3 linked regions of the Schizosaccharomyces pombe genome follow. The gene in region 1 interacts genetically with each later gene. Each region holds a gene or a part of one and is shown on either strand. Other genes may lie near its edges.

Region 1 (10,618 bases):
TTTTAGTAGCTTTACTAATTTGCTCCTCCGATTCGGATTCTGACGAGGAATTGTAGTTGACCGGTTTTTTTGATCTCGACGATCGCCTAAGATGAGTTGAAGAATCATAGGACGCAACAGACTCATCAATTTTATCGGAAACAGAATCTGTCGCTTTCTTTTTACTGCTACGTGCCCTCTTTCGTGTAGACGTAGAAGTACTTTTTTTGTGAGGTCCACTGATATTAGCTAACTCAGTCTCATTTTCTTTTTTTAAGTCGACTGGTGTTTCGGCAGAGAATGAATTCGCACCGATATTAACTTGCGGTAACATTGAGAGTGTGGTTTTTGAGCTCATTGGAAGTAAACTTTTAAGGGTATCGGGTAAACAATGAAAACGAGAGTAAGTAATGGTACAAACCGACGGTACACAAGGATGATTACCTTTAAATGCCTTTTGTTTTAATATGGTGAAAACAATGCGTTTAGAGATTTGAATATTTCGTTTCAATAGCCTAAGCATTAAAAAATGAAAACGATTTTAGTATCAATATGACATTATTTAGAAGGAAATAAGCCCTTCGCAAACTTGCTTATATCCCTACAACTATTATCTTGTAAGTGAAAAGAGATATCGACAAGAAGTGATTGAGACTCAATACTAGTCAAAATCAACGAGTGTGAAGACAAATCTTCTTTCATTCCCAGTAAACCAAAAATGGTTTTGTATCATTGTTACGTCAAAATTCGCTATGATTTTATTGGAAGGCCATGAGATTACTGATGCTCAAGGGATTCAACTTTTGACAGTTATTGTTCAGTGTAGATAGGACTGCTTTTACGAGGAAATTTTGGTTTCTCAAATCGAGCTTAGTTTAGCAATACAATGTTAAGTAAAAAGATTGTGTTGCTTTCTCTTTAATAATTGCAGATTCAGTTGAACAATCAAAAAAACAGCAGATAGGAAAAAACATTTGAAATGAAAATTTGGCCAAGTCAAGGAGTCGCGACAATTTATTTTACCATCTGTAGCATATGTGTGTATGGGAAGCAGAAGTAGGCGGATTCGGGTCATTTATATTGTATTATGAACCGTCTTAATGCTGCTTTCTGCTGACATGGACATCTTTAAAAATATACAAACAATTACCGTGTAATTCACAATAGATTTAATACCATCAGCATTAATGAGTTGGTTGAGAAGCCATCATTGCGAAATCGCAATGTAGGTAGAGTAAACGAAGCGAATTGTTTACGATAAAATACAGTATATCTTTAGAACCGTAGATAGCTGCATCAGCGAAACGATTGGTTTTTTCTGCAAATACTATTACAACCAGTAGCATGAAGAACGCTTCTTACTGCCGCATCGTTTTTGCCGACCTGGCTGATCGATTGACAAAACAAACTTCTAGCAGAAATAAATGATCAGCGCTTCTTATATTTAACATTTGGCAGCGTGCTGCCCGCGTGTGAATATTTTCCTTAAGTTTGTATCCCAACAGAAAAGCGTAAAAAATTGGAACCACATTGAATCTTCAAATAAACAATATTAACATTACATTTCAGCATAAGCATCGACTATACATGACCTCGAGGTGTTTAAAGAATTAGTAATTCTTGCTTTGCACATAGTTTATAACGAAGTACGTCCTAGCATCACTCGATATTATCATTTAAGGTAGCACCACTATTGCTCTATACAATCAGCTATTACATAAACGTTGTAAGAGAGGAATTATACAAACGTCGACGACGGCGATTAATTGTTACCTTTCCCCTTAATTGAATACCATGACTGAGAATGAGAAAAGCAGGTCTTTACCTGCTGAAAGGTTCGTATATTTAAAGAAAACGACTAATTGATATTAGAAACCCTCTCTATAAAGACGATACACTTGACCGTACGCGCTTCCCGAAATTACGTGAAACTAATATAGCAGATACACCATTAATCCCAAAGTGTCGCGCTCAGGTAATAGAATTTCCTGATGGACCAGCTACTTTTGTTCGTCTCAAGTGTACAAATCCGGAATCTAAAGTGTAATTATCTTTTTTTTGCAGTGTTGTTTTTGGAAAAATACTAATGATGTATATAAATATAGACCTCACTTTCTTATGAGGATGGCAAAGGATTCAAGCATTAGTGCTACGTCAATGTAAGCGTTTTTTCATATCTTTTTCTAAAAATCTAAACCCGATTAGGTTTCGTTCAGCTTTCCCTAAGGCTACCCAAGAAGAAGAAGACTTGGAAATGAGATGGATTCGTGATAATTTAAACCCAATTGAAGACAAACGTGTTGCTGGACTATGGGTGCCTCCTGCAGATGCCTTGGCTCTTGCCAAAGACTACAGCATGACCCCGTTTATTAACGCCTTGTTAGAGGCATCCTCCACTCCTTCAACTTATGCGACTCCTTCACGCCCCACTGCGCAGAAATCAGAGACATCTGAGGGGGAACCTGAATCTTCGACATCTGCCACTACCACTTCTGTTGCTAGGCGCACACGTCAGCGTCTTGCTGAACATCTGGAGAATTCCAAAAAGACAATCCTCCAACATGATAATAAAGAAGAAGACAAGGAAATACATTCCGAAGAGAATGAAACGAAGGATGAAATTAAGTCTGAGAAGAAAGAGCCAGAAATCAAGAAGCAGGAAGGCGGTAGTTCTACTGAAAAAGTAGGTCAACCCTCTTCTTCGGATGATAAAGCAAAAGGATCAACCTCTAAAGATCAACCCTCTGAGGAGGAGGAAAAAACATCTGATATCCAAGATAGAAAGATTAAGACACCTATCAAGCCTTCTCTTCTTGGAAAGATTAGGTCAAGTGTCAATAAGGGCATGACTGACGTTGCCAGTCAAGTTAACAGAGGCATGACCGATGTTGCCAGTCAAGTTAACAAGGGCGTGAATGGTGTTGCAAGCCAGGTCAACAAAGGCATGAATGGTGTCGCTAATCAAGTTAACAAAGGTGTAACTGGTGTTGCAAGCCAAGTAAGAAAACCTGTCGGAAAGTTGGAAAAGAAGTTCGAGAATTTGGAAAAGAGCATTGGGGATACTTTGAAATCTTCCATTCGATCCTCTCCAAAGTCAAAGAAGAGAAGTAGAGAGGATTTTGAGGAAAACGAGGATTACAATGCTATGGTACCTGTGAAAAGGTCGCGTATCACCAAACTGGAAAGCGAAGTTTACTATGAAAAGCGGAAAGTCAGAGCACTTGGTGGTATTGCTATTGGTTTGGGTGTAGGGTAAGTATTCAATGATTGTGATAATTGGTCTTTTCCCTGGATTTAAAATCATTTACTAACTATCTTTCGCAGCGCAATTTTACCTTTTCTATTTTAATTTAATAGGGCCCTTTACCATTTTGAAACTACTGGATGTTAGAATTTAATGTGACATATGTGCTTTAATTTGTTGATGTAGTTTTTCGTGTTTAATGTGAAAATCAATTGACTTGATGACTTTTTACTTACTTTCGATTATGATTTGGGATTGGAGACCTGCTTCAGATTGATTTAGGGCTGAAATAACTTAATTTCCGATTGATTCTAGTGCACTATTTGGTTATCTTAATGTTTTATCACTTATATGAAGTTGTTTTAGTCCTGGGAAGTGTATTGTTTCCAATTTATTGCGGAATGTGATTTTTCCAAGTTATATTGATTACTGTACTTTGCTTTAGTTTTGTTTCATTAAATTTTCCTATTTTAAACTTATCTAGCAAAATAGCAAAAAGTAACATTTGTACGACTAACGAATAACTAACTACTATAGAAAACTAAAGAGAGTCGAAAATAGAATCTTCTTTTACTATGAAGATATTACAAATGTGCATTGTTTATATTCCAACTTCAATATTTCTTACTTCATAAGTAATAAAATTCGCTCGGTTTACACCCTTAACATACTATATTCAAGGTTGAGGACAAAGTTTTGGAAAAGTGCAATTAATGCTTGCGATTTGCCTACCATACAATAATAAATGCTAGTGATCAATTTTTGATATACAAAGGAGAAAAACAAGAGCATTTTCTTCAATTCTGATATTCTCCACATTAGATTATATCATCAATGTCCTCTCAAAAGAGAGCAGATTCCTCAAGTTCTTTTGATCAGGCGGAACGTCGATCTTTGGATGAAAATGAAAGGAAAAAAAAATATTTTTTTAATAGAGAAGGTTCCGGTATTGATAATTTTGAAACGGACGGTATGGTTTTTCAAGCTTCGAAAGCATTTGACTACTATTTACTGACAACTTTTAAAGACAGAGTTAATGAAATAATTAACGAGCAAAATGAAGAAAACGTAATTGATCAAAGCCGTTGGTCCAAGTTGTGGAGAATATGGAATGTTGGTTATTCATGGTTTATTCTCAGTATCATAGGAACAACAGTTGGGTTTGCGGCTTATATGCTTGACATAGTTACCTCTTGGCTATCGGACATACGAAGGGGATATTGTACTAGTCATTGGTATTACAATGAGAAATTCTGCTGTTGGTATAGCGAAACTATGGGTATGTTCAAACATGACTTGTACAATGATCTAACGTTTCAAGGTTCCTCGTGTACTGCATGGAAACCCTGGACTTACAAGTTTTCCCTAAATTACCTTATATACACGGCCTTCGCTTTACTTTTTGTGTTATGTGCTGCGATTATGGTAAGAGATGTTGCTCCTTTAGCAGCTGGTAGTGGAATCTCAGAGATTAAATGTATCATAAGCGGTTTTTTAAGAGATAGTTTCTTATCTTTTCGTGTTATGTTGGTAAAATGCGTTGGTTTGCCATTAGCCATCGCTAGTGGTCTTTCCGTTGGGAAGGAGGGACCCAGTGTACATTTAGCTACTACCATCGGGCATAATATATCTAAGATATTCAAATATGCCAGGGAAGGATCTATTAGATATAGGGATATTTGTGTTGCTTCTGCTGCTTCCGGAGTCGCTGTTGCATTTGGATCCCCTATTGGAGGTGTGCTTTTCGGTATTGAGGTAGGAAAGTTTATAGAGATTTTGACTAATTCTTTTAAGGAAATGTCTGGTGGTTATGACCCAAAAATGATAGTATATTCATTTTTCTGTTGTTTATCGGCCGTTGGTGTTTTGCATATGCTAAATCCATTTCGTACAGGGCAAGTTGTTTTATTTGAGGTTCGCTACTCTGGATCCTGGCATTTTTTTGAGCTTCTTTTTTTTTGTTTTCTAGGAATTTTTGGAGGTTTATACGGTGAATTTGTAATGCGCTTATTTTTCTTAATTCAAAAACTACGCAAAAAATACTTGTCTCGATGGGGTGTTCTCGATGCTGCTTTTGTCACCGTAATAACATCCTTGGTAAGTTTCTTAAATCCTTGGTTACGTTTGGACATGACCCTTGGGATGGAATTGCTTTTCCAAGAATGTAAGTCAAGTAGCTCACCTGAGTTAATTAATCTTTGTGACCCTTCTCTAAGGACTAAAAATACTATTTTGCTTTTGATTGCTACATTTGCAAGAACAATATTTGTTACCTTCTCGTACGGAGCCAAGGTTCCTGCTGGCATCTTTGTTCCTTCTATGGCGGTAGGTGCCTCGTTTGGCTATATGATTGGTTTGATAGCAGAGATGATTTATCAAAGGTTTCCAAACTCAGTTTTATTCTTAGCTTGTCATGGTTCTGAAAGCTGTATCACTCCAGGTACCTATGCGCTCCTTGGAGCAGCAGCTTCTCTCAGCGGTATAATGCATTTGACGGTCACGATCGTTGTTATTATGTTTGAATTAACAGGTGCCTTAAACTTCATATTACCTACCGTACTTGTCGTGGCACTTGCAAATTCCATTGGCAATATGCTGGGAAAAACAGGTATAGCTGATCGTAGCATTGAGATTAATGGATTACCCTTACTTGAACCAGAAAAATCCATTAATAGCTCCAATACCATAAATATACCCATTACTGAAGTGATGGCTAGCAATTTAATAACCATTCCTAGTATCGGATTTACATGGAGAAAGCTGTTAGGAATGATGGAAGGTTACGACTTTAGCGGATATCCTGTTGTTTTAGATTCACGATCTAATTATTTAATAGGCTATCTTAAGAAATCATCACTGAAGAGTTCTTTTGAGGCTGCAAAACTAGAGCCTTCATTTACTTTTGATCAGCAGTTGTGTTTCGGAAAGGTTGATTCAGTTGGCGATAGTAAGTCCTCTAAATTCGGTGAATCAGATAGAATAGATCTTTCAGCGTATATGGATGTGAACCCTATTTCTGTATTACATACGCAGAGCATTGCAAATGTCGCTGTTTTATTCGAAGTCTTAAGTCCAAGTGTGATTTTTATCGAAAAAGACGGAAATTTAGTTGGCTTAATCTCAAAAAAGGATTTATTACTTGCATCCAAATATTACCAAGAAGATAATGATTTAGTGAATCCTGCTAATCGTCATCGTGCAGTTTCTACAGAAAGGATCAACGACAGCTATGAAAACATAGAACTAAAGCCCTTAAAATTAAACATAGAATGATAAAATGTAATAGTTTCATTGAAGGGAGAATTAAGTATGGCTAAAAAGTTGATGCTTCAATAGTACGAAAGCAAGAACTGTATAAACGAAAGTGACTAAAATCGATAACGAAGTTAATTTCGGAAGACATAGTCTATCAGAAGGTGTAAAGAAATATACGGTACAAAATGAAAAAAGTAGGCTCATAAAGTAATAGCAAACCAATTAACCGTTGAAAGCTTTTCAAAAAAAATGAGAAGAGAAATGACGAAGTAAATAAAAATAAATGGAAAGCATAAATTGCGACTTAAAAACAAACTGAGCTTTTTAAAGCAAATCTGACATTTTAAGCCATGTGAAAGAATTAATGGCTATAAAAAGACCAGTTTTCGGGGAAAGGCATTTCAAATGCGGTATAGAATTTATCTAGACAGCTCCATCCATTATAATCAATGGATTCATAAGGATCACAGTCGCATTTAGCGCGTGTAGCATCATCCAAAGGACAATGACCGCTACCAGGATGCCAATAGCCAATCTCATTGAAAAAATGGATATTGTCACGATCAGCGAACAACGAAACAGCAATGCTATGAACTGGAGCATCACCCCAACGCTCATAGAAGAAATTACCACTTTTATCAAGGTAGTCAAAATATTTACTATAAACTTCACTTTCCCAAAAATCAACTTTCGCAATTTCAAAATTAGTCCAAAAATGACATCCGTTATAAGTTTCCCCATCATCATTAGATATGAAGTTTAGAGCATTATTAGGATGAAGAGCATTAGGGTGCATTTTGATGAATTCTTTGGTAGAGGGCCAAAGAGAAGGAATTGTTTCTGAATATTCAGTTACAGTGATAGTGAATGCATACGCCTTGTTATTTTCCTTCATATAAGCAAATGGATCGAAATCGAGGTCGCAAAAGAAATCCACACTAGGTTCAACTCTCCAATAATATTCGTACTTCTGAACAAGAGGATGACGATAAAAGAAACCAGACTCAAAGCGACACATGTGACGATAAGATTCTTTGTCAGCATAAAGAATTCCTAATTCTTGAAGTTTTTTCCAATTTTCATGCATTTTGTCTTGGTCAATATATTCCGGAATGCTCCATTGTTCCTGAGGTACCAAACCAAATTCACATTTGCCAGAGACCGCTTCAATAACATGCTCCTTAAATTCGTCAGAGAACTCCTCATTGTTAAGGAAAACCCATCCATAATGATATTTATGATTGAAAGTCTTCTCAAGTTTTCGGATTGATTTAAGTAAATCATTCAAATCTTCATTTCTTGCCAACGTAACAAAGGCAGCATTAACCCGTTTATTTGGAAGCCATTCGGAGCGTTCTGAGGGCTCTAGATTAGAAATATTGAAATACGAAAGAGTATCTCGATTGTCAATCAGACTGCCCTCAAATACACTGATAGTTGGGATGTATTGCTTTTTGAAACGTACAAATACAACCAATGTAAGTAATACCACTAAAAGTAAAACACGTTTGAACTTTCTTGGCAAGCGAACCATTTTGCATTAAAAATAGAAATGCTATATTTATAGATTCTGTAAGTCGGGTAAAAAGTCTTTAAAGAGACCGTTATTCTTCTAGTACAAAAAAATGAAATAAACAGCCGAAGGAAAACCAGTGAAATTGCAAGTTTTGATTTTCACTATAGTACTTCGAATATGGCTTCCAATAAACCAATAGATAAATAACCGAATGTGAACTAAAAGTACACTGGAGAAGGAAACAATTGAATCCTATGCAAATTATTAAATGTAACTACTTTGATAGTAGTAACTCTACAAAGCTAATATATAAGTCCAAGCACCAGTCAGTAAATGAAGTGATTGCTATGTTACTCAAAAAGTATAAGTAGAAAATTAAAAAGAATTTCTCTATGTTGGTTATAAGGAAATTCTAATAGTGAGCAAGCTTTTATCAATTAATGGTGGTGGCTGAGTGAGAATGGTGCAGGCACAGTTACAGTATTTACGTTATTGAGTTGTCCAAAGTAAAATTAGACCGATCGATTCTTTGAGTTTTACAGTCTAGCAATTATTTATTATACATACTTAAATAACATTATTTTAGCAAAAAACTAGGCTAGAAATCAAGTTGAATAAAAAGTTAACATTTCTGAAAAAAATTTTTTTTTTCTAAATTCCTCTGACTGTTCATAGGTTAAAGGCTATAAATCAAAAATTTTCAGTACTATCATTGTACATTTCAACTAGATGGAGAAGTTTCGCTTACACCAGTATTGCAGATCGTAACGTCAGATGTCTGTAATAATACTTTGTTTTTAGCATTGTACATTTGACAGTTATGGTTAACTAGGATTACCTTTCCTCTAGGACTTTAAAGATTTTATCAGCTAGTTCAAAAAGAAAAACGGTAATGTAGCAACTACTTGCCTTACATATTTGTTAATATATATCTCCCAGATATTATAGGGTAGGCAAATTTATTGAATGCACGTTCAAGTTGTCTAAAGCTAAGTCAAGCAATTACGTTTTTCAAAATTGAAAGAAGAAACATAATTATTGTAAGGTTAAGTGAACAAGCAAGTAGACTTATTAACCTATGCAAATATTGCTTTTACTTAAGAGGAACAGAACTGATTCATTAATAAAATCAACATACAAGCGTAATTCCTTATAGCAATAACGGTATATTTTCTTATACATCTATAGAGAGACGTATATACTGTTATAGTTAATTAGAATTGGCAACTGAGTTAGCTTACTAGTACGATAGATAGGAAATAACGTATCTTAAAACAAGTTAGTGAATTTGTACTTGTATACATTTTAAATATGCCAGAGTACAACGCAGGACGCTATAAAGCACTGATACATCGCGCGGTTTCGTTATTGCATTATTTGTCTGCTCTACGAAGTTAACGACTTACCATCCTTTTTAGCTACGAATAAAATTTGCAAGTCCTAACATGTTAGCTCGTTCTGCCCTTCGCTCTGGTTTCCTTCCCTCTCTTACCTCATCTGTAAAGACCGGTTTCTGTTTGAAGGCAGCAGCTCCTACTTTATCCATGAAATGGAGCGCGGTAAAATATTACTCAACTAAACACTTTACTAAGGAACATGAATGGGTTAAAGTCGATGGAGATGTTGGAACTGTAGGAATTACCTCTTATGCTGCGAATGCTCTTGGTGAAGTTGTATTCGTTGAATTGCCAGAACCTGAGACTACCGTGAGTGTAGGTGATGGCATCGGTGCTGTTGAGTCAGTCAAGTCGGCTAGTGATGTATATTCTCCAGTGTCTGGTACAGTTACTTCTATCAATGAATCTCTTGGTGATTCACCAGATAAGGTGAGCTCGTCTCCCGAGGAAGAAGGTTGGATTTGCAAAATCAAGTTATCATCACCTGACGAATTGAAATCACTATTAAATGATGAAAGTTACGCTCAATTTTGCAAGGAAGAAGACGCGTCCCATTAAATATGGTTATGTTAAAATTCCGTATGACCTACGAAGTTTGTTCTAGCTGGTTTATGTATTAATTACAACTTCAATTTTTTGTGATTGATTTACATATTCATCAAACTTTACTGGTTTTGGTTGTTTTGTTTTTTCATATATGAAAGAATAAAGCAATAACTCAGTTACAGCTTTTCAATAGTCTTTGAGACCATTTCATCATGGGCTTTTAAGACAATTTTATTTGTTGCACTCTAAATACCCTCTTCCTTCAACTGAAGAGTCATAACATCGCTTTCTTCTTTTTTTGTCGGGTCAATTTATAATGCATGGTGCATTCATTCTATCTGTATTGACTACGGCCTAAAAATACATTTTTTCCCAGACATACTGTTTGCTACTTTAGAGACTTAGCCTTCCATAATTGTACTAATAACTTAATAGAATTAAATTACAATTTCAACATTAAACTATAATCTGATAAAGTAATTAAGCGAAAGAAATTAATTGCATACTTCTGCTAGGTTGTAAATATTATAAATAGTAAGCCTATATTAAATGGGATAAATTAAGCCAAAAAGGCGAAGGCAGAAATTAGCATAACAACCAAAGCGAGAAGTCCGCTGGGAGAAGCATAATGCACAGCAGAAGAAGGAATGGTAGTTACGTTGAAACTAGTAGTGTTTACAA
Region 2 (11,322 bases), on another chromosome or scaffold:
TGAATAATTTGGTTTAATCATCTGTCTAATTCTAAGCAAATATCCATCTATTTCTCATATTGAGCTTCATAGTGTTGTGAGTCATTCAATATTACCGAATTATTTTATCGGTGAGTATTAAGAGTTTGTCTTAGGTTGTAATTCCCAAACTTTAAAAGTGTATGGAATGGTTTAATTCAATGCCTTGTAGTGTGATAAATTGTTTCCTTTCTTTTTGTAATTGCAGAAGCTAGAATTATAGTTGTTATTTTATTCTAATACTCTCTAAAGAAAATGTAAAGTACGAAACGTACCAAAAAATTCAAGCTATATCAAAAAGTGAATATCTATAGCACAGGATATAAGCTGAATAACAATGAAGACAATGCAAAAATTTTTACCTTAATAATTATACAATTCCTAGAAAGTCTTCCATAGAATGAAGAAATTTAGAGCAAGCAATACTTGCACTCAGAGGGTAGTCACTAATACTGATTTTTTCGTCAACCCAACCATCCGAAAAATCGTCCGGACCATGAGCCATAGCACCAATTGCAATACAAACCGATTGGTTGGGCTGTAAAGTCTCAAGATACTTGCGAGGAGGAACAGTAGGAGCATCAAAAGATAATGTTGCCTTTCGACAGTTCGGAGGAAGGTAGTCTGTAACTGGATTTTTGATCACCTTTAGAAGCTTTTCATTGCCATTCACACTACGAATAGAGAGCTTGTGAAGAAGCTGCACCATCAAACCGGAAAAACGTTTGAAAGTTCTAGGAATACGAACAGAGGGATTCACTTCAATCAAAACTTTCTTAGCTGTGTGAATGTACACTTGAAGACGACCTGCCTTATTCAGTGGAGAATCCAAAAGAGTCAATAAGCATTGATGAGTAATATCAGGACGCGCTTGAGCAATGTTACGGTTTAACTTTTTTAAAATACCTTGATGATCATCGCAATTTAGAAGTTGATATTTTGCATCCTTAGCCTTGCCAACTTTATAAATTTCCAAACATGCTTGGTCCAATACGACAATCAAACGCTGTGTTGTAGTATCATGAGAACCAATTGACCTCGCTGGTATTGGCGCCATATGGGTAGTAACACGATGAACCGACCCTGCAGGAAGTGGACGAGCTTTGACGGTTTTGGAAGAAGCACCATTGGGATCCTCCTTTTCTTCATCTGACTTTACTACATTATCTATTTCTAAAGCCTCAACACCCAACTCTCGATCGATAGACTCTGGCTTTTTCGAAAGAGCTTCAACAGAAGCTTGATTCTCACGAAGTCGTTGTAATTCTTCATCTTCAATAGAACCTACTGCACCATTACTCTGCTCCTTTTCATCTTGCATCAATTCACTAGCAGTTTCACCTGACGTTATTGTTTCACTCGATTGACTTCTCTTTATGAATTTGGGTTGATTGGTTTTCTCAGAAACCTCTAAAGAGCCTCTAGACTTCCTTTTGGAATAAGTAGGCATGAATGATGAAAAAGCTAGTCTACCAGATATTGGGTTTCGACAAAAAATAATGGCTTGAGAAATTTGCTTTTGGTGGTAGCTACAAATAACTATCAGATCTAACCTACCTTGCTTAAACAAGATAACGCATATTTACGAACTTACGATCCGCTTAAACCAACAAGTGTAAAACCAAACATATCACTCGCGCATTGAGCTGAACAAAACAATGACTTATCTAAATCAACAAAAAAATTATAAAAAATCTACACACGCCGAAAATTTGTTTTCAATGAATTCTATATTAACTAAAAAAATGCAGGTAATATAAGTCCATCTTCAGCAAAAAAAAAAAAAATAAAAATAAAAATAAAAAAAAAACGGAAAAGAAGTAAAGGAAGTGGATTAAAAGGAATGTGTAAACAGGTATCGTCAACACACAGAAAAACCGTGCCTTCTAATACTGTTGCACATATCAGGTGGATAAATACACAAACGCGACACATCAGTGACGGAAATATGTGTTTATATTAGAAAAACTAAATCACCACTTAATGCAACATTATTTGTAAACAATGAAGGAAAGAGATAAATTTAAAGTTTTAAAAAGAAATGATTCCAAAACTATTTACAAATAAGAGCAATAAATGTTGCCGTAATTCAGTCTTTACGTAAAAACGATTTGCGAGTGAAAGATATTATAATCAACGATAAGTTGACTATCTTGACTAGCAATGAAAGCTCAAAAACCGAGGGCTTGAAAATTGCAAACATTCAAAAAAAAAAAAGCATAAAGCACATTGCATGTACTCCTTGAGCGTAGAAGATAGGTTACAACATTCGCCAAAAAAGGTGACCACATAAATATCACTTATATTAGCAAACATCATGTATATCATGGACGAAAGTTTAAAAGGTTGGCAACCAAAGCCAAGTTCATGAGAGGAAAAGAAGATTATAACTATAATCCTCGACACAGGAAAATAAGATGTACTGTCATCGCAAAGCAATAGGCAACACGTCAGTAATAATTAGGAAAATTAAAAGAAAAAAACACAAGAGAAAAAAATGTACGAGACCGGTGAAACAAGTTTCAAACAAATCTCGATAAAAGCACAACGAGATTATTAATAGCATAATAAAAACTAGCCAGAATAAAATTAATGCAATATGCAGATCATAACACCCAACGCTCATAAAAAAGGTAACAAATGCCCATTCTAAGCATACAAATCGAAAAGTAAACGAGGCACATTTTCGATAAATAGTCATTGACGAACATTTCCATATTATAAATGAATTGCTCGCTCAATTAACTAACAAGGAATAAGATGAAGTTAAGGAAATCTAGTCAATAAAAATCAAGATTTCAAATCCAAGAAATCCATTAAAAACGTTGGCATTTCTTTTAACTATAAGCCGTTAGAAAAGGAATTCAGTAGCTTTTGTATGAAATCCTCTAAAAACCAAAAGCGAAGGAAACAAAATTAACCCATATAGAGAGCTAAATTCTATAATCCAAAAAAACAGAAAGACAGAGGTACATAGGGTGATAGTAAGAAAGTCATAATACTAGCAAAAATACTAGACTATGATAAATTCTCTTGGCCAATGTTCAAATAAATAGTGCTACAACGAACACGTGTAGATAAACGCGGAGACGAAAGAAGGTGAAACAAAAAAGTGGAATAGTTAGAACAGAACACGAGGCTTAAAAAGGTGATATGTCCTTAGACATAAATAAGCATCCAATGAAACTATGCACTTCCTTGACGCAGCATACGGAACAAGCGCTGTTCACGATCGCGATGAAACAATAAGTCTAGGGCAGAAGTAGAATGACAATGAATGCCGTTATTAGGGGAATTCAAAGTAGGGGTAATGTTACCAGTGGGATGGCCGGCAGCATTGAAGTGATTAAAAGAAGGAGTGGAAGCTGAATAGTTAGTATGAGGAGAATTGTGTCCACTGTAAAATCCATTCGTCTGTTGAATACTCTGCAATGAGGGATCGTTACGAGACATCGGACAAAAATTATGACCCATGGCAACTTCGGATGGGGTTGAAGGAACAGAGGAAGATTGATGAAACTGGAAAGGCATGTTTGAGTTCACACTACCAGTAGGAGGTTGCCATTCAGCCTTTTCGGAAACGGGAGAGTGTAAGAACGTAGGGATGGGAAGATTAGAAGCGGCCGGAGAATGAGTAAATGTAGGACCGGCGTAAAGAATGGAATTAGTATCGGAAGAGGAATTCGAAGAAAAAGATCGATCAGCACCGGAAGAATTGGAAACGTAAGAAGATACAGACTTCAAATGAGAATCAACTTCTCCGACGGCAACCTTATCAATTCCTAAGCCAGCAGGAGCCGAAGCAACACCAGAAGGAAGGTGGGAATTAGAATTGCCACCTGAGATACGAGAGCCAGCATACGAACTGTGACCAGATTTAGAGCGTCGATTCCCGCGTACTTTATCGCCATTTCGCTTACCATTGCTTTCACCAATGTTAGAAGTAGCAAAAGTACTCTTGGGTTTCACAAAGTTAGGTATCTGGAGATTACCATCTCGTTGGGGCATAATCGACATTCCATCTAAACTGAACTCGACATCGCTGGAAGCAACCATTGCTCCGCCCGGTTTAGAATTAATTTTCTTCTTATTACGTTGAAATCTACGTCCAATGTCTTTTTGCATTTTTTACTATAGTCAAAATTCGAGTAATCCCTAATGATCATGGATTCTGTATTCTTAGTGATTGATGTTGGTTAAGGATAACTTCGGGGGCAACACTCTTACCCAATATACGTTATTTGGGCTGAGGTGACACAAAGCAATGAGCTGCGCTATGCCTCCTTATAGAGCTTTCTTCCCTTAACCATTATTTGCCACCCACTTTAACTGGCAAAAAGAAAGAAGGAAAACAAAGATTCGGCACAAAGATAGAGAAATAAGAAATTGCTTTACCTTCGTTTAGTGAAGTCTTTTATTAAATTTGAAAAGGTGTGTTTGAACAGTGGAATTCAAGCAATTTCCTAAGTATATTATAGCTCATTGCTGTAATATTATAAATTTGTATGGGATTGCAATTACGTTCACGAATCAGCAACTTATGCCAGGTTTCCTTTTTAATGTAGATAAGGATTCATGTAATTAACTAGCTTATATCAGCTTTATACCATTTTTGATCAGTTTGAATTATTCACCATGGACAATTGGGAGGACCCTAACTTCGAATTGCGAAATCTTCGTGTCATAGACTTGAAAAAGATCCTTCATGAATCGGGAGTGTCATTCCCTGTGAATGCCAGAAAAATAGAGTATATTAGGATGGTGGATAGAATACGGAAAAACAAATTAAGCTCTGGTCCACAACATTTATTGTCTCATCTTCAAAAAGAGGAAAACTCTAACACCTCAAAAGCGTCTAGCTCCGAGGATGAAATAGCTCCTAAATACCTTTATCCCTCCTCTCCTTCCAAAAGCACGAAAAAGCCACACAACGAAACAGAACCGCTTCTGTCTCCACAATTCATTGACAAACCTAGCAACATTGAAACCCCGGTTAAAATAGAGTCTCCGCACGTCTCTCAAAATAATACCTTTCAGTCCTATTCTGAATTGAGCCCTAATGTGGAAACATCGCTGACTATGAAAACTCCGCCAGCCCACGCGTCTACACCAAAATTTCGCTCGCATAAATCTCATAGGGTAGCTGTTCCTATGTCATTTATGGATAGCTCTGCTTTACATACTTCGCCAGCATTTTCGGAGAGGTTAAAGCTGCTTTCATCTTCAAACAATTTTTCTCCACAATTGAGGTCTCCCAAAATATCACATCGTCTACAAACTTCAGCCACTTCTAGTCCTCTTCAACATAAACGACCCTTTACTAATGTTCCTGAGCGAGTCTCTCGAGATATCGAGTTTGCTCCTCTTGACAGTGCAAGGCCCTCTGAATCTTCATCGCCTTATTCTGAAGTAGACTCTGCTGAGGAAGATGACGAGCTTTTTCAAAATTACGTTTTGCAGCAGACTCGAAAAGAAAGCAAACTTTGGTCGTTTATTAAAAAAGTATTTCACGACATTAAGTACGCCAATTATCGTCTTCTTCACAATTTGCGCGCCTTTCCTGGAATCAGCGCGATATCTTCTTCTTATTTAGTGCATATTTTTATGATTTTATTAGGAGTGGTGGCAGCAATTTTTCTGGCTTTATTACGGGAGAAAATGTTTACAGCAGGATTCTGTGATTCGGGTGCCAGTGGAAGTTCTGCTTCAATTCTTGGAATAAGTTTTCCATCATTGTGTAGAACTTGCCCTCCGAATGCAATATGTCCCTCTCCAAATTACGTTGAATGCAAGCCCGGATATGTCCTCTACGAACCATGGTATTCAAGTTTAGGATTTTGGCCCTCCAAGTATTGCGTTAGTGATACTTCTAGAGAAGAAAGTGTTAATATTTTTCGTGAAGAATGTTTAAGTGTATTAAGATCCTGGAATGCAATTTTGCATTGTAGCAATAACTCGTCAGATTTGCTGGAACGAAATATGTCGTACAATGCGCACCCTTATGTCGCCGATAATCTTAATATATCATCTGATCATATCTCCTTCCCATCAAAACCATTTGCGTTAGGATTATTACATGATACGCTTCTTGAAAGAAAATCTCCAACCCTTGGCCTTGAAATGTTTGAGGACTTATTTAAAGCTTCTTTGGCAGTACTTTCTGAAACGAATGAAGTTGTCATGGATTCAAAATTAATTTGCTACGATAGCTGGGCAGGTATTCCTTTGCGGTGTCGTTTAAAACAGCAACTGATAAAATTTGTTTGGAGGAACAAAGTTTTTTTATTTGGAATCCTTGCGTTGTCAGGAGTTATTTTTAAGCTCATCAATTTTTTTCGTACTCGCAGTATCGTAGCAAAGTATCTACCATCGGCTTCTCGATTCTGTGTAGAATCTTTGAAGAGACAGAAAGCAAATTATCAAATGTCTCGATCTCAAGAACCCGTTATACCACTAATCGAAATGCATGATATACTCTTTCATGGAAATGGCCCATTGGAACAAATTCATATGACGAAAGCAACTGCTCGAACTCTTTGGGAAGCAATAGTCGAACGTGTTGAACAAGTTGGCAGTGTAAGAACTCGTGAATCAGAAGTAGACGGCGAATGGACCCGTGTATGGGAGTGGGTCGGCACAAATACTTTGGATTTCCAAACCGATCGTTCATTTATTAATACAACTTCCCCTTTACGTGAATAATGATTCTCGACTGTATTTCTAGCTTTGTATTTATGACATTTTTCATAGCTAATACAAAAGTAAGTTAATAATATATTTATCTGAATGCTTATACATATTAAAAATGAAACATAAAATTGGTATAATGAGGACTTGTTTGCAAGGTTGATGAAATTTAACTGTATTTCTTATATTAATGTGATTCTTAGTTATACCAAATAAATTATTTTAAAATAAAAACCAAAACCAGTACCATTTTTGATTGAATATGGGCATGTCTAGAGTAAGAAATTAGCGGAGAAAAAATAGGACATGTCACATAGAAAGGGTATTTAAAAAAAAATAAAGGAATTCAAAAGGGAGATTCACCCAACATTACGGTTGAAGATTCGTAGTCTGTGTCTTCTTCTTCCTCGTCATCATCCAAACCTGGAATTTGTTGCCATTCGTTATAAAATGGTTGAACAATTATAGAAGACTTCGTAAGCCGGTAAGGATCAAAGGGAAAATAGGCATCCATAGTGTCGAACCCTTCTCTAAAAATTCCTTTTCTGTTTTGCTCAATAATGGAATAGACGTACATAAAATTGAGATGATTTGCAACCTTTGCAAATTGAAGTACAATATTGGGGGAACAGTATCTCAATGGATTAAGCCGAGAAAGAACGGACCGATGAAGTATCTCTAAGCCCGGTATCCATTCGTTAGGTCTTGGCTCCATGGATTCAGACTCATCAGAGACACAAAGTTCACGCCAACGAAAGCAAAATATGTAAAAAATACTTTGATTAATTGCGTAAAAAACCGAGTGTTTAGATAGTAAATCATCGGACAGCTCGTTTTCACATTGATCTAAGTAAGCTTCAACCCAACGAGTCATCATATTAACGATGATCTGAATTGTATTTTTTTCTAAAGCTTTGGCTCTAGCAACGTAAGACCCAATATACATTGCACCACTTAATCTTAAAGTATAAGGTTGTGATGGGTCAAGACAAACTTCCGTAAGCACTCCAAGGAAAATATCAGTAAACTCGGGATCCAACTGAGAAGCCCAAAATATCAAAAATTGAGTATATCGACAACGGAACGTTTTAAGGACCGTGTTCACAAATGATTTAATCAAACTATTATAAACCAAGTAACGATCTCTACTAGTAGATTTTAAATTGGAATCTAAATAAGAAAATAAAGTATACAATAGCTGATCCAGTTGCTGCATCAATTGACGAGTGTCTGTTAATGAGGGAGGAGTCAATATTGTGCTAGATGTCATTTCACTTGAAATAGCAGTATGCCGTTCATATAACGTTGAAGCTGTAATAACTTCAGAATCGGCATTGCTAGTTCCATCATCATCTGTTACCACTTCATCCTCCTCCTCATCATCATCATCAACCTCTACTTGTATTTCCACATCAATTTGGATAATTTTATCAATTATTGCATGCAATACAGGACCTTTAATTGATGGTACATATTCACATATACTTAAAACGTTCGAAATATAAGTCATCTGTGCTAAAAGGCTCTCGTCCTTGTACGGAAACTCCTCAAGTATGCTACTATACAAGAAGGAATGCGCACGGGGAACAAGTTCCAACACATATTTTAAAGCCATATGAGCATGTTCATAATGGATTGCTAAACTATCAGGCCGATACAACATATGCTGAATCAGCATAGTCATAACTAGCGGCAAGTAATTAGATTGTGCAGATATGAGATTTCCTAAAAATCGAGTATAGCATCTCACAAAGGACTCATCTCTGCTCACCCAAACAGAATCTAGTACGCTCATAACTAAAGAAGAATTAGAGCTATCCAATCTGGAAACATTGCACGTCAAAGCCGACAATAAGTTTTGAAGTTGCAGAGAGGAAGGTGCATCTTTAGTATCACTTTTTGCAGCAAACTGTCTTCTAAGATCTTCATAACCGGCAAAATTTCCTTCTGCTTTGTCGTCCAAAGCTTTATTGACGAAAGCACGTAACATTTGTTGCATTAATCGTCCATCATTTTTGGAAACTGAAGAGGCAAAACTTTTGGAACCTACAGTACGATCGGGAACATTTGTAGAAGATGCCATTGTCCCGTTGTTAACACATTTATTAATATATTGAGGATTCGTAGAGGAAATGATGGAAGGCATTGTAAAGACGAGATAAACACTTGCACTAATCACAGATAAAGGAATGGATGCAAACAAAAAAATAATAAGAATAACACTAGCGGATAAATTCACGTATGGTTATTCTAAACTTTGTAATAGTTAGTTTCAAAGTTAAACCAAAACTTAAGAGTAAAGTAAATGTGGAAATAAACTGTTTCAAGTCAAGTTGACCCAATTGCTTAAAAAACCAAACATTGCTATATCTCTCTTATTAATAAAACATTTCCTTACAATTTCCAAAAACTAAGCCGTTAATTTGCTTCGAAAAGCTAAATTTTTAGAAATTTACAGGACTTCCCACGAATGAATTTTACACCCCAAAAACTTTTCGGTGTCTCAAATGAGTCAGATAAAATAATCAAAATAAATTTGTAAGATAAAACAAATTTAAATTATAAGAGTGATCATTAATTCATTCAACGTAAAAGCAAACCATGTGTGGCGGTTGGCAGAAACTATGCTAACAGTTTGTAAAGAAAATTTGAGTATATACTGAAATGCAGCGCATTGCGCTCTTTGCTAAACAATGCAATATAGATACCGATTTCTAATGTATGCTAAGTTAAAAACTATGTAGATACCAAATTAAGTGTAATATTAAACAAAGAAAAGTAGGGATCTTCCAAATAAAACCGGATCGAAAATCAATTAAACAGAATAAATAAAGCGTGATAATTGTTTTCTTCAAATACCAGAGTTCCTTCGATTACTAGTAGAACGTCTGCGGCGCTCTCTCAAAGATGCATTTAAATCTTTGTATGCCTGTTTGTACATTAAATACATTTTTTTCGATAATTCGCCAATATCCTTGTTACTTCTTCCTGAAATATAATAGTAGTTTTCATCCTGGTATGTAAAAGCGACACGACGATATGGACCAGAAACGTATTTATCCTTAGGGATTATAGTGGCAGCATAGGGATAAGTAGAGTTATCCGGTGTTGGGTTTAAAAAGGAATTTGAGCGCTCCATCCATGCAGGAATAGTGGTAGTCTTCATGTTGATGTTAGGCTCTGCCAAATAAATTGCAGCCGCACCCTGGCTAATGGCACCTAACACTTTGATCTTTCTGTTATCCTTAACCTCTTCATCCGGTTGAATTGTACGACATGAATGGATGTAAGGAACCAGGCTGGCATGTAAAAGTGGGTCTTCTAGCATCTCACGCACGAATGGATTTCTCCCTCCAGTTATGAAAACAGCACTAAAATTATCAAACGTAAAACCATTTGATCGATAGCATTTTGGATTGTTGAACTCATTCAGAGTACAGAGAACGCTATATATGTCTAAGATTTCCTTAGAAGCACCGAGTACATGACTCTTCCAGCCGGTCATATAAGAATCATTAGGTTTCGGGGGTCTTGGAGGAAATATGGATTCGGCGATTACGAATTCAACTACAAACCCGCGATCTGTAAAATACCTCCAAGGTAGACATACTTGCTCCAACATGAACCCCTTATCAGCTAAAACGATAGCTAAATGAGGCGACAATTTGGCATCCTTACCAAATACCGGAGCATTCACTGAAATGAGGTCGTGCTTGGGATGAATTGCAGCATTATAGTTGTCAAATGAGTTCATTTTTGAAACCTGAAAGGAAAATGCCATCGTGCTTAAAAACCAGTTAATCCTCCTTTTTTAAAAAACAATTTAAAATTAATAGCACTGTAGATTGTATATTAGTTATATGTCTTACACAAGAAACCTGGAAAAGTGGGTAAAGGGATGATTGACCCCCTTAATATATTACCTTATGTTTAGGTCAACCAAAATGACACGATTCTACAGGGTTTCGATTTTTTACAAAAATTTAGCGGTATTCAGAACGCCTTTCGCTTCTTCCAAAGCTTCGTTCAATGGGTAGTGGTTTGACTTGCTGATCATATATAATTTATGTATTTGATTATTTACAAATCACCTAATTGGTAGAAATACTTTTTTAACAATTTGTACAAAAGCATAGATCTTTTTGTTGCTTATAACTGTAGAATACAATGTAATAGGTTTTCATCAATTATGCTGGCCTGATCAAATATATGAAATTAATCGAATCTGTAAAAGGACTTAGTTTTACAAACTAACTTAGCATTCAGGACATTTCATCAATTCACCAACATTAATTTACATGGGCAAGGAAACTGTTGCTTTTTCTGTACTTTTAATTCCTACTTTAACCCTCTATGAACTAGTATGCGGCTCAAAGTCTCCTGCACCGAATTTCCAATTCAACAATGGGTTGAGACTTCTAGTCTTGAATTAGTTGACTCTGTTAATTGTGTGGCAGATTTATGCCATGCCATATGGATGTTTAATGGAGGATGTGCGGATTGGAGGCTTCAAATACTTAAAGAAGGATTTACAGTTCCGATGACGGGAATTATCTCACAATATCTTAAAACTGACGACCACATTAAAATTGTGAAGGAAATTTATCCTCCGAATTT
Region 3 (11,350 bases), 620 kb from region 1:
TTTTTGAAGCTTCTCCCATAGATGAAGTTTAATATTGCTATCATTATTTATAAGTAAATTAGCCAATGCTCGGTGTCGAGTTCCAGCATTATCAGATTGAAATGCAGCCGCGTCTTGGATACTACAAAATTCTTCAAGTGTGGTATTCGCAAGAGAAGAATAACTATATGTCATCATTATTATTTCACGCAATATTCAGTTAATCATGAGGAGCTTATGTAACCGTGTAATTTCGAGCATGAAATGAATGAAACTAACAAGATATTAAGGTCCTTACACTGAACACATTGCGTGAAGAATAATGACAATGAATTTAAAGTTAGCAACAACATGTTGACATTGCAATATTACATACGTTTTGTAGCGATTGAACCTGAGCATAATTGGGGCATCAATATATACAAGCAAAAAGAACGGACGTTTGAGCAATGCACTTAACAAACGTGGACTATGAATTCCATTAATTACAAATCTTTCGCGCCATCTTGGAGTGAGATAGCTAATAAGATCGTCAACGCTGCCAAGGACTAAATCGCCAGTTCTATATATATATTCTCCATCCTCGTTTAGTTGTGGTAATCGAAAAATAGCATTGAAACCATGCTTTGTCTCAAGGTATTCAACAACGGCATCTTTTCCACTACATAATGGCCCTGTAAGACCAACAGTTGGCATATTTATTTGCTTAATAAATCAAACAAAGCTACTTAAGCTTAAGAAACGTATTTCAGTTTGATTATCTCCCCAAATAGTTAGAGATAGATCGGTTTTAACGTACTCACATACCTAATGATACTAACTATCAATACCAACAACGAGTTGCGAAAATGCTAACTTTCAATTTCGTAAAACTATGCTTCTATAATCTGTAATCTTTTTAAAAAATAAAATATATATTTAATGAGATTAAAAACTATTTGCTTCCAAATCTTCACGAATCCTTGAATATTTCAGATTTTACGTTTCACTGTACTGGACCAAGAATCTAAAAAATCCTTTTAGTGAATTCGAATAAAGTCGTTTTTGGTTTTAAGTGTATTGACCTCTCTTTTGCTGGTCACGCTAAAGTTTAGAGCACTCAAAAGTTGTACTTAAGTGCTGTGTACTTCAACAGCAACAACAATAAGATCATTAACTGTATATTGTTAAGGAGAAACTCGGAACAAACGCATTCAACTAACAATGAAACCATTTTTATCTAATTAATGTTCATCACATCAAATTTGATAATGAGCGCATTTCATGTAAACTCATGTGAAACGATGGAATCTGTCGAATAATATTTTTTATGTGCGAATATTCAGAATTCTTCTAAAAGTCCAGTAATTACATACTAATCGTTCGTAAAATTATGTTTACGGTTAGATTACTATTGCATCGTAGGCCTAGCATTAATTGTCAAGTCAGCAATTCAACAATGATATTTATATGTGGCACATATTCTTTTTCTCAACATCCTATTTAATGATATTGGAAAATTTTTTTGTTTTCGGGAAATTAAAACACTACAGAACTCAACTGGACTGAGGAAGAGGTTGAGTTATGAGCAGCTTCAGTAGTAAGTTAGAAGGTTAACTTCACGTACCAACTTAATTAATAATCGAGCTCACAGCAACATAAGTGATGATTGTTGGTGATTTAACGTATCATTAAAGCTAATTACAGACTACATAATAAGCATTAAGCCATTAACGTGTACTAGGTAATACTCACGACCGTACTGTAGAGCTCGGTAAGATCGTAATTTTGTCAAGTTTCCTGAGGTTTAATAACCCTTTGGTTGCAAATTATTGTTAATCACGATCTTGTAACTCCTATAATTATTGAAGTCAGTTTGCAAAGAATTTAGAATTTAAATCACCAAATAATTTGGGCATGAGATGAGTTTCAATCCTGCAGCTGGACTGCTGGGAAAATTAAAGAAATTATGGAATGATACAAAAAACGATTATTTGGAATGGGAGCGAAGCCAACAAGGTCAAATTAGTGAGTCAGTGGTTAAGAATCACTCACCCTCAAAGCGAAAGCGACGGCCATCGAAGGAGCCTTCCCTATCACCTAAGCGAAGAAAAAATATTTTAAATGATCAAAAAAAAGATGAAGAGTCAATACCTAATGCTGGTACACAATCACAAAATTTTACTCACTTAAGTGCATCTAAAATTCGTATCTCAGATGAGGATCGAATTAAGCCATTGGTAGATTTAAATCAAGATCACTCTTTTGACATGGCATACTTAACACCTGCAAGCGCTCCCCCTCCGCGATTTCGATTTGTACCTCCAAAATCTGACGCGAAATCTCATTCGGCTCCTAGATCGCTAGAAGGTGTTACTAGCTTATCTGATTCTCATTTCAATTCCCTTGAAGCAAACTTAAAAGCGATTTCGAAAGATAGCAACAATAAAGCGCACAATAATCGTTATGATGAGTCTTCGCTTACGAACCCTGAATTTTCCATCCTTGTTGAGCGTTTAAAAAGTATTGAAGAAAATTTACAAAGCCTGCAGGAAAGGATTTCTCATTGTGAGCGTTCAGTTAGTCTTAGCCCATCTTTTGCTCCACCATCTAACGTTAAAAGTCCAGTCCAACAGCACCGGTCTTTTGTTTCAAGTTCAGCAAGAGCAAAAAAGAATTGGGGGAGACAGTCGAATAGTCCGAATAGTAATAAAAAAACCGATCATGCATACCCAGGAGCTTCAATGAACACTGAAAGGGGTTTAATTCAAAACTTAGAAGATTCAGATGATATCCATGAAGAAAGTTCGGATACCTTGGAAGAACCTCTGTTAATTAACGAACTAAACCGGACTTCCTTTCTCAACTCCAATAATAATTTAAAATTGAATGAAGCTGAAGAAAATCAAAATTTATTGAATCTTCGAAGTCCCAAATCATCTGGAAAGGCTGATAATTTGACTATAAAAAGCTCATCTAATATTGATAAAGTTACTTCAAATGATCTCTATCTTGATAATAATTTGCAAAGTCATTTTAAAGTGACAGAGAGTCAACCGACTAATCTAGGGAGGAAAGAATATTCAAATTCGCCTTTTTCTATCAGAGCTAGAAAAGATGCAGCAACTACTAGTTCCTCATTTGAAAGTTATCACAATACACAAACGATACAATCACCTATGAAATTTACAAAAGCGACGCCTTTGAAAGACAATGAGTCAGCTAGTGTCGATGAAAGTAAAGTAAATGTGTTGTCGGAGAACCAGTCTTTACAGGCCGATACCGCTACGTTGGAACAACTTACACCAATTCCAAAGGCAAGGTGGAACCAACTTGCAAATAAACACCCTTCCCTTTCTAATTCAGCTGCATCACCCCCTGTTTCGTCTCCTGGGCTCAGGCGCTCCCATATCCCAGTTCATGAAGGACTGAAGCATACAAGAGATGGCGTTGCTGAAACGAAGGATGCGCTTGCAAAATTAAGGGAAAAAATGCAGGAGCGACTAAAAAACCATACTTCTTGAGGAGGCACTTTAGTGCTTAACCTAAAACCTATCGCAGGCGATTGTTCTTTAGTTTACGCTTCATCTGACAACTTTTATAATACGGAATTAATGCAACAGTATCTTTAGACTCCTTTTGGTATATTAAATATTTTCAATTAATGTTCTCCTTTCACAACGAAAATTGACACATTTTAGGGCTTGCGTTCCAAGCAAACAAAATACGCTTCCCGTGACTCTTTTAAAGAGGCTTTCGGTTTCATCACTTGGACGAACCTAAAGTGAGATTTCAACAAATTTTGTAAGTCGGCATCTTCATCCCCCATGTAAAATTTACAAATAAACGAGCCATTTGATTTTAAAAAGGTTAATGCAACATGAAGCGCAGATGCACAGAGTTCCTATAGTAGGTCAGAGAAAATTTACAAGAAATGTATTTACCATGGAGAGAGCATGATCCCGGATCCGAATCCCTGTAGCCTTATGAAGCCTAGGATGTTAGATGTAAATATATTTTAGACCCTGTATTTAATTACATATCACTTATAACAGCGTCGACCACCCGACAATCAATGCTATCATTCGTATTAGGCTCATGTAGTAGCCGTAAAGCCTCGAATAGTTTAGTCAGGGTGTTTGGATCACGAATATCACCGTAGATGGGTAATACCCCTTCTGGTGGAGCTATGTGCTGAATATCAATGCCTATTACTTTCCCTTTATTTCCAACTAACTTTTTTGCTACTTGCGACCATGATCCAGGTGCAAATCCCTTAAAAACGTTAGGCTTATGATAATTAGATAATTTAATACCACGTCAATCACCACATCTTCTTTATTAATAAATCTGTATTTGGAATTCAACTATCAATTAGTATTATTATCCAAAATCGTATCGACGTGGTAACAGTACCTCTATTAATTTGTATGCTGCTCTCGACCGGAAATTGTCGATTTTACTTTTTTTTCGATAGAAATCTTTTGAACGCTTAGCTGCCCAAGAAAAAAGAGTTTTGGAGCCAAACATCTCCTAAACCCAAAGTGTTTGTGAATACTAGATCAAATTTTTACCAAAATATGAATTGAAGTATGACAGAATTTATTAAGTTAAAAAAATAGTGGTTTTATTTATTCTTTCATCAAACGTGTCTAAAAAGGACTAATCGCTTTTTTTATTCTAGTAGATGGTTTAATTTCTAAAACGTAAAAATATTACTTTAATAAACCAGATGAAGAAAATAACTCTAATCAAAGTACAGCCGTCTCAATCTATTTCACAGTTGCTTCTTTACGAGCATTGAATGGATTAAGTACTGTATTTTACGCTATATGACGCTACGTTACCTGTCACTATTTGCCATAAAAATACTAGCAAATTCGTTTATTGATAATTGTAAAAGACTATCCGTATTATTCACACAGATACCTAGAGATATCGGGTTAAAAATTTTGCAAGCTATATTAATGATTGGCTATAAACTTCGTAAACTAATATTAATAGGACTGCTATTCATATTGCATACCGCGATTTTATAAATTACCAGTAAACACACCGCAATTTATGATTGTAAAATAGATACCAAACTGCATAGTAAGCAACTTAAGTAATACACAATAAATCTATAAAATTCACTATTTATGATTAAAAATATACATAAATTACCGCTAAAATAAAAATAATGAACTATAGTATTGGCTATAACCATATGCATTATGTGCTTCCTTAGTTTTGAAGGTAAGGTTCATCTAGTAGCACGTATCCACGCTATAAGCCGTCGTTCATCGTATAATTCGTTCTCACAGCCAAATAAAGGCTTATAAAGAAATCTTGAATTTAATTAATTATGTATCGTCTCAAATGTGATGTTAAAAGTTATGGATGGGGAAAAGTTGGTCACGAGTCTTTAGCCGCGAAATTAGCTGAGGCTGGATACGGTTTCGAGGTTGATCCTAATACCCCATACGCTGAGGTATGCAAAAGGCTTGGTTAATTCTATACTAATTGAATTTTCTATACAGTTGTGGATGGGTTCTCATCCTTCTGGCCCTTCCTTTGTTATGCAAACTGGTAAGCCGTTGAGTGAGTTGTTAACTCCAGAAACCGTTGGAGAAAAAGTGTACAAGAAATATGGGAAACAACTCCCCTTTTTATTCAAAGTTTTATCGATAAATAAGGTGCTGTCTATTCAGGCTCATCCTGACAAACCCCTTGGTAAACAACTTCACAAAACGAATCCGAAAGAGTACAAGGACGATAATCATAAGCCAGAAATGGCAGTTGCATTGACAGAATTCGACGCTCTTTGTGGTTTTCGACCAGTAAAGCAAATCGAACAGTTCCTTGACAGTATAGCTCCTTTGCGTGAATTTGTCGGTGAAGAAGCTGTTCGTCAATTTAAAGGTACCGTGAAGCAAGACGAGAGAAAAGCATTGGAAACTTTATTTAATGAGTTAATGCACAAAGACGAAAAAAGGATTCAAGAATTTACTCCTCAGCTTGTTCAACTAGCAAAAAGTGATGCTAACAACTTTGGTGGAACGGAATACGGCGGAAAAGCATTTAGCGATTTAATTATTCATCTCAATAGTCAATTTCCGGATGACATCGGATTATTTGTTACTCCTTTTCTTAACTACGTTCGATTACATCCAGGAGAAGCCGTTTTTCTTCGTGCCTTAGATCCACATGCTTATGTTTCTGGAAATATAATTGAGTGCATGGCTGCCAGTGATAACGTTATCCGTCTTGGCTTTACGCCAAAGTTTAAGGACATAGAAACTCTCGTAAATAATCTCACTTATCAGACTGCGGATGCCAAATCCCAACTTACCCAACCTGTACCATTTGCCAAAGCTTGTGGATCTGGCAAAACTCTGTTATATGATCCCCCGATCGAAGAGTTTAGCATTTTGCAAACCAAGGTTTCTCCTGGTCAAAAACAATGCATACGCGGAATCAATGGCCCTAGCATTTTACTTGTTACTGAGGGTTCAGGCATATTGAATGGAGACAAAGGAGATGTAGCATCGATATCTCCTGGATTTGTTTATTTTATTTCCGCAAATTTTCCATTAACGATCTCTGCGACTTCAGAACCTGTTGTCGTTTACCAGGCATTCTGTGAGATTTAGTTACTCTGCAGCTTTTTACTACTATCAGCACCATTATAATAAAACAATACATGGAATTTTTAAATTTTTAACGATACTGGATAGGATGGACAAAATTAAGTAAAAACAAATTTATTTTTTCGTAGATGCAATGCATAAATAATGAGCGTTTTTAAGAAATGTAACAAAATGTAGAGAAGAAATATAGACAAAAAAATGAAATGAAGAAGATGAACCCCAAAAATAAAATAAAAAATGAATCCAGAAGAAAAATGAAAAAAATGAAAAAAATAAAAAAAATGAAACCAGAAAAAAAATGCGAAAACTAATCAACAACGAAATAAAGCATAAAAATGGGAATGACAAAAGTAAAACGAATGCAAAAATAATTCTAATAAACAAATTTTTTTGACCAAGCATCCACTTTTAACACGCAATTTAGTACAACTCAAAGTAGGCATTGCCTCCGGTGACAGAGACTGTACAACCACTGCTGTCAGCGGTGGAACCATGGAATGATCCGTCTTCATAGTAGCAATCACCACTAAGGGACCCACCATCAGATTTAATACGGATATTGTAATCAAGTTTAGCAGATGATAAAGGATTGAAAGACATAGAAAGCCAAGTCTTGCCGTCAGTGTAACCAGACCCGAAGTTCATAGGAGCCCAATTGCCATAATCATCGCCCTCATTACCCCAAACACAGACATCTTCTGCACTTCTGCCAGATTTATTAACATAGTATTGAGCGGATGTCTTCTTTCCTCCCCAATTATAGTATGAATCTTCATCAACATCAGAAAGAGGTTGTTTTGAACCACCATCAATATTGGTAGGGATATTCATGTTCTCAGTTCCGGGGTAATCGGTACGGCAAATTGCGACATTGGAACTCAATGTATTTTTAACATAGGCAGTACCCTTTCCATCTTCACAAAGATTAGAATTATCCTTCTGGGTGAGATATAATTTACCGTTCTTGCAATACAAACCACCAACGGAAACGCCATTGTCAGGCTGCTCAGACGGCCATTGGGTCTTAGACATTCCGGGCTTGCATGCATAGGAACAGTATGTGTTATCTTGGCATGTAGAAGCTGTTCCGTATTTACCATCATTCTTCTGAACACCAGACCATCCTCCAAAACCTAAGTAATCAAGGCGGACAACGCCATTTTGATCATCAGGAAAAGAGGAGCAGTCGTATACGCCGTCAGGAAAACCACCGTCTCTTTTTGAAAAAGCGGTAGTGTTTGTGACATTGACACCAACAGTTATATTGCTAGCATTCAAACCGGCATGATGGTGATGGTGATAGGGAGCATTACCAAGAGGCATAGCTGAAACCAAAGGAATGGCGGAAACCGCAAAACAAAGAAAGTTGTTAAAGAGCATTTTTAGATTTAAAAGATTTGACAGGAATCTAACGATTGACTTTATAAACGATAGGATATGCTAGTAACTTGATACTAGAAAATAAAAGAAAGATGGTAAAGAATATAATGGTCTTTACCTTTTGCGGTTCTGATTGTTTAATTTCAGCTCACGGCTTTTCCCTAAAAATCAGCTCAGCTTTATATACATTTCTTTTTTCAAGCACTTCACCATCTTTTGATTAAGAGCCGTGGCGTTTTGCCACTAATTAACCATGAAAGCCTGTAAGTTTTCAACGTTGATTTTTTCAGAAAATTTCTAACCATAAACCCGAAATAATTAGCGCCAAAACAGTCAACTATTGCGCTCCAATCATTGCTTGCCTTGCTATCGGCTTTGTATTCATTGGCTGATAACTTAATTAAAAATGAACTTAAAAGTCAGTTGATAAATTCAACCAATTAAATGCGTGAATTTGATCTACCCCAGGAAAATTTATACTGTCCCGGGGTCGCGGGGCGTTCAATCATTCATTTCAAAGCAAATTATTATTATTTCCAAGCCAAGTAATTTAATTTTTGTTTATCGCTTTAGCTTTCTTATCATAAGGAAGTTCTTGGTCCCCTGGGCCTTTTGCAATTGAATTGCGCGGTGTACGTAAGCCTAATGACATCCCTGTATACCTAACTTACAAATACGTTGGCTCGACTCAACGTTATATTGATTTTCTCCTAATACTATTAAATATATTTAATAATCTCTTGGGAAAGTAATCTGGTACATACAAATCATCCTAGATATAAGAGGCTCGGTGCATTTCGGCAAATGATGTTCTGCAGCTCATTAAATATGATATAATATTAATTAATTAATATCGTGTTTACACTCGGTTTATCGGTTTGCTATGCTAAGAACTTTTACGGATAACAATTTAATTATTTATCTTGGTAGCGTATTTGACGCTTCTTTGGATACTGAGATTAAGTCAAATTTTGAATGGAGAGAAGTCGAATAATAGCCCAATGCCTGCCGAAATTACCCGATGCATGTCATTGACGAGACAAAAAATTTCTTTCAACGGCCTAAGAAAATGATGTACTAGAAACGCCATCTTAGTCTGACATTTTACATTTTACGCTCATGCTCAAATTTTATTAATAAATTATTATATGTGTCCGTGTCATTTAGAATATGACAGGGGAGGGTAATCTCTTTCCCAACTTTATTGGCGTGTAATGAAATTCGCGAGCTACTATTGTGTCTGCATTCTTTAGCTGCAAAAACGCAACGGAAAAGACAATTTTATAATATGAATACTTCACGTGTTCATTGTTTTTGTCTTTAGAGAATTTATTTGAAAATGCTGAGGAGGTTAATATCTGGTATACAATTAAAACACTATCGCAAATAATGTAAAAAAAAATAATATTGAGGAGCCATAACTAAGTCATATAACTTTTCTTATTGAACTATTGTTATGTCGCGATTTAGTCGTATTTACCATAAACTATAAAAACTTTTCTTAATCAACAGTAAAATTGTTACTTATTCTGGTGTTACTTACACCTCCGCTTGCGTAGAGTGAATTTAAAATTCATTGCCAAGAGTTTATGGTCTTTACGATCTATCTCGCTGAACTTCAAAAAAACCAAGAAAAAGTATTGCTCTAATGCATTAAGACGATAACTATTTGCAAAATAATTTCATATACATGTTTCCCAACGGGCAGTTGTTTTAAGTAAATTCATCAGTATCGATTCTTGAACCAGGTTCTCTAACATCATAAAAGAACTTGACAAATACTTTTCTACTAAGTGTCTGTAAACTACTTGAAATGAATGAGAAGAAAAAAGATAGCCTATCTGTTTTAGATTCCAATGAATTTTTCGGTGAGACAACTATGGTATCACCGAGTATTGATGTTTCCTCTTCTCCCCGGCCAAATGTCGAGAGATTTTCTCCATGTTCCACTAAAAAAGATCTCCTGGAAGGAAATAATATAATGACCAGAATTCCCGAGGAGCTTAGTCGTGTTAGTCTACAATTTGATAGCAAGGGAAGTCAGCAATCGATGATATTTACTAACAATCGATGTTTATCTGATAAAGAAAATTTGGAAAACTTGCAAAATCTTTTATATCTACATTGTGATCTTAACCGGCCCCATTTGAGTTGTGAGCTGCCGTCAGAGCATCGCGAAAAGTGCCTTAAACGCCGTAACTCTAGTCTCAGCTCTAATTTGCATGCTAATAAGCGGTTTCTCTTCAATTCTCAAAGTGATGGGAATAAAAAGAATGAAACTTTTCCTTCTACTAACTACTCGAACGTTTTCTACCCAAACAACTGTGACAGTAAGGAAGTCGCTAGTGAAACAACATTCTCACTTGATGCACCAAATAATTCTGTTAATTACTCTTATTTTTCTCCTAATTTACTCGGCAACGATTCCAAAACCCGTCAATCTTTTCCCCCTCATTCATCTTCATCTTCACATAATTCTTTGCATGAACCTGTCATATATGATTTTTCTTCAGAAAATCCTAGCATTCATCCTTCTAATCATTTGAGCTCTCAAAAAAATGCTGTTTTGAAATTAGCACAATTAATTTCTTCCTTCGAAAAATTACCCGAAAGTGTTCGTCAATACTTACTTTTTCATCTTCTTTCTCGATGTGGAAAACATGCTGTTCAAAATATTCACAAAATTCTGCTTCCTATCTTTCAAAAGAACTTTTTAACTGGATTTCCGGCTGAGATTACAAATTTAGTGCTTACGCATTTAGATGCACCTTCATTGTGTGCAGTTTCGCAAGTTTCGCATCACTGGTATAAGTTGGTATCGTCCAACGAAGAACTTTGGAAAAGTCTCTTTTTAAAAGATGGTTTCTTTTGGGATTCAATTGATAGTAAAATCCGTACGATGTGTTTAGAACAATCTTTGTCAGCCTGTGCGATAATGAAGCGGGTCTATTTTAGACATTTTAATCTTCGTGAAAGATGGCTCCATGCCCCGGAGAAAATTAAGCGATGTTCATTCCCAATTCATGGAGTTCGTCTTATTACCAAACTTCAGTTTGATGATGACAAAATAATTGTTAGCACCTGCAGTCCTAGAATTAATATATATGACACGAAAACAGGTGTCCTGATACGCAGTTTAGAAGAGCATGAAGGTGATGTTTGGACTTTTGAATACGTTGGGGATACTTTGGTTACTGGCTCCACAGACAGGACAGTAAGAGTCTGGGACCTTAGAACCGGTGAATGTAAACAGGTGTTTTATGGACACACGTCAACAATCCGTTGTATCAAAATAGTTCAAGGCAATCAAAGTACTACTGATACTGATGATGTGGAAAAAGAAAACAGACCAGCTTCAAATGATGCTAATTCAATGCCTC

Evidence for each region.
Region 2: mutations in bqt4 (region 1) and lem2 are lethal when combined (synthetic lethality), as found in Schizosaccharomyces pombe (one study listed by BioGRID).
Region 3: of bqt4 (region 1) and csi1, changing one suppresses a phenotype caused by changing the other (phenotypic suppression), as found in Schizosaccharomyces pombe (one study listed by BioGRID).

The regions. Positions count from the first base shown.
Region 1 is NC_003423.3:2,839,084-2,849,701, forward strand, and holds bqt4 (integral nuclear inner membrane protein Bqt4), read left to right. Parts: upstream 1-1,750; 5' UTR 1,751-1,773; coding exon 1,774-1,814; intron 1,815-1,851; coding exon 1,852-1,883; intron 1,884-1,922; coding exon 1,923-2,022; exon of another isoform or gene 2,023-2,084; coding exon 2,085-2,138; exon of another isoform or gene 2,139-2,184; coding exon 2,185-3,231; exon of another isoform or gene 3,232-3,244; intron 3,245-3,303; coding exon 3,304-3,328; 3' UTR 3,329-3,751; downstream 3,752-10,618. Other genes in the region: endonuclease Uve1, read right to left, coding at 1-502; SPOM_SPBC19C7.11 (ClC chloride channel), read left to right, coding at 4,058-4,193, 4,251-4,502, 4,545-4,978, 5,018-6,496; Golgi alpha-1,2-mannosyltransferase Omh1, read right to left, coding at 6,840-8,012; gcv3 (glycine decarboxylase complex subunit H), read left to right, coding at 9,440-9,949; SPOM_SPBP19A11.02C (uncharacterized protein), read right to left, coding at 10,497-10,618. UniProt on the Schizosaccharomyces pombe protein: Connects telomeres to the nuclear envelop (NE) during both vegetative growth and meiosis. This connection ensures clustering of telomeres to the spindle pole body (SPB) when cells enter meiotic prophase.
Region 2 is NC_003424.3:2,229,945-2,241,266, forward strand, and holds lem2 (LEM domain nuclear inner membrane protein Heh1/Lem2), read left to right. Parts: upstream 1-4,333; 5' UTR 4,334-4,653; coding exon 4,654-6,720; 3' UTR 6,721-6,829; downstream 6,830-11,322. Other genes in the region: rRNA (pseudouridine) methyltransferase Mra1, read right to left, coding at 389-1,468; protein Edc1, read right to left, coding at 3,205-4,143; RNA polymerase I general transcription inititation factor subunit Rrn3, read right to left, coding at 7,052-8,851; SPOM_SPAC18G6.12C (uncharacterized protein), read right to left, coding at 9,557-10,486; SPOM_SPAC18G6.13 (uncharacterized protein), read left to right, coding at 11,069-11,322. UniProt on the Schizosaccharomyces pombe protein: Nucleus inner membrane protein involved in meiosis. Plays a role in regulating nuclear envelope (NE) morphology and nuclear integrity, particularly during spindle pole body (SPB) extrusion or insertion through the NE, and perhaps during karyokinesis.
Region 3 is NC_003423.3:3,459,560-3,470,909, forward strand, and holds csi1 (protein Csi1), read left to right. Parts: upstream 1-1,778; 5' UTR 1,779-1,880; coding exon 1,881-3,482; 3' UTR 3,483-3,655; coding exon of another isoform or gene 3,656-3,862; 3' UTR 3,863-3,902; coding exon of another isoform or gene 3,903-3,951; 3' UTR 3,952-3,997; coding exon of another isoform or gene 3,998-4,233; 3' UTR 4,234-4,274; downstream 4,275-11,350. Other genes in the region: dcd1 (deoxycytidylate deaminase), read right to left, coding at 1-163, 356-675; 2' O-ribose methyltransferase Mrm2, read right to left, coding at 3,656-3,862, 3,903-3,951, 3,998-4,233, 4,275-4,325, 4,375-4,488; mpi1 (mannose-6-phosphate isomerase), read left to right, coding at 5,306-5,431, 5,481-6,593; beta-glucosidase Psu2, read right to left, coding at 7,011-7,970; cullin 1 adaptor protein Pop1, read left to right, coding at 9,784-11,350.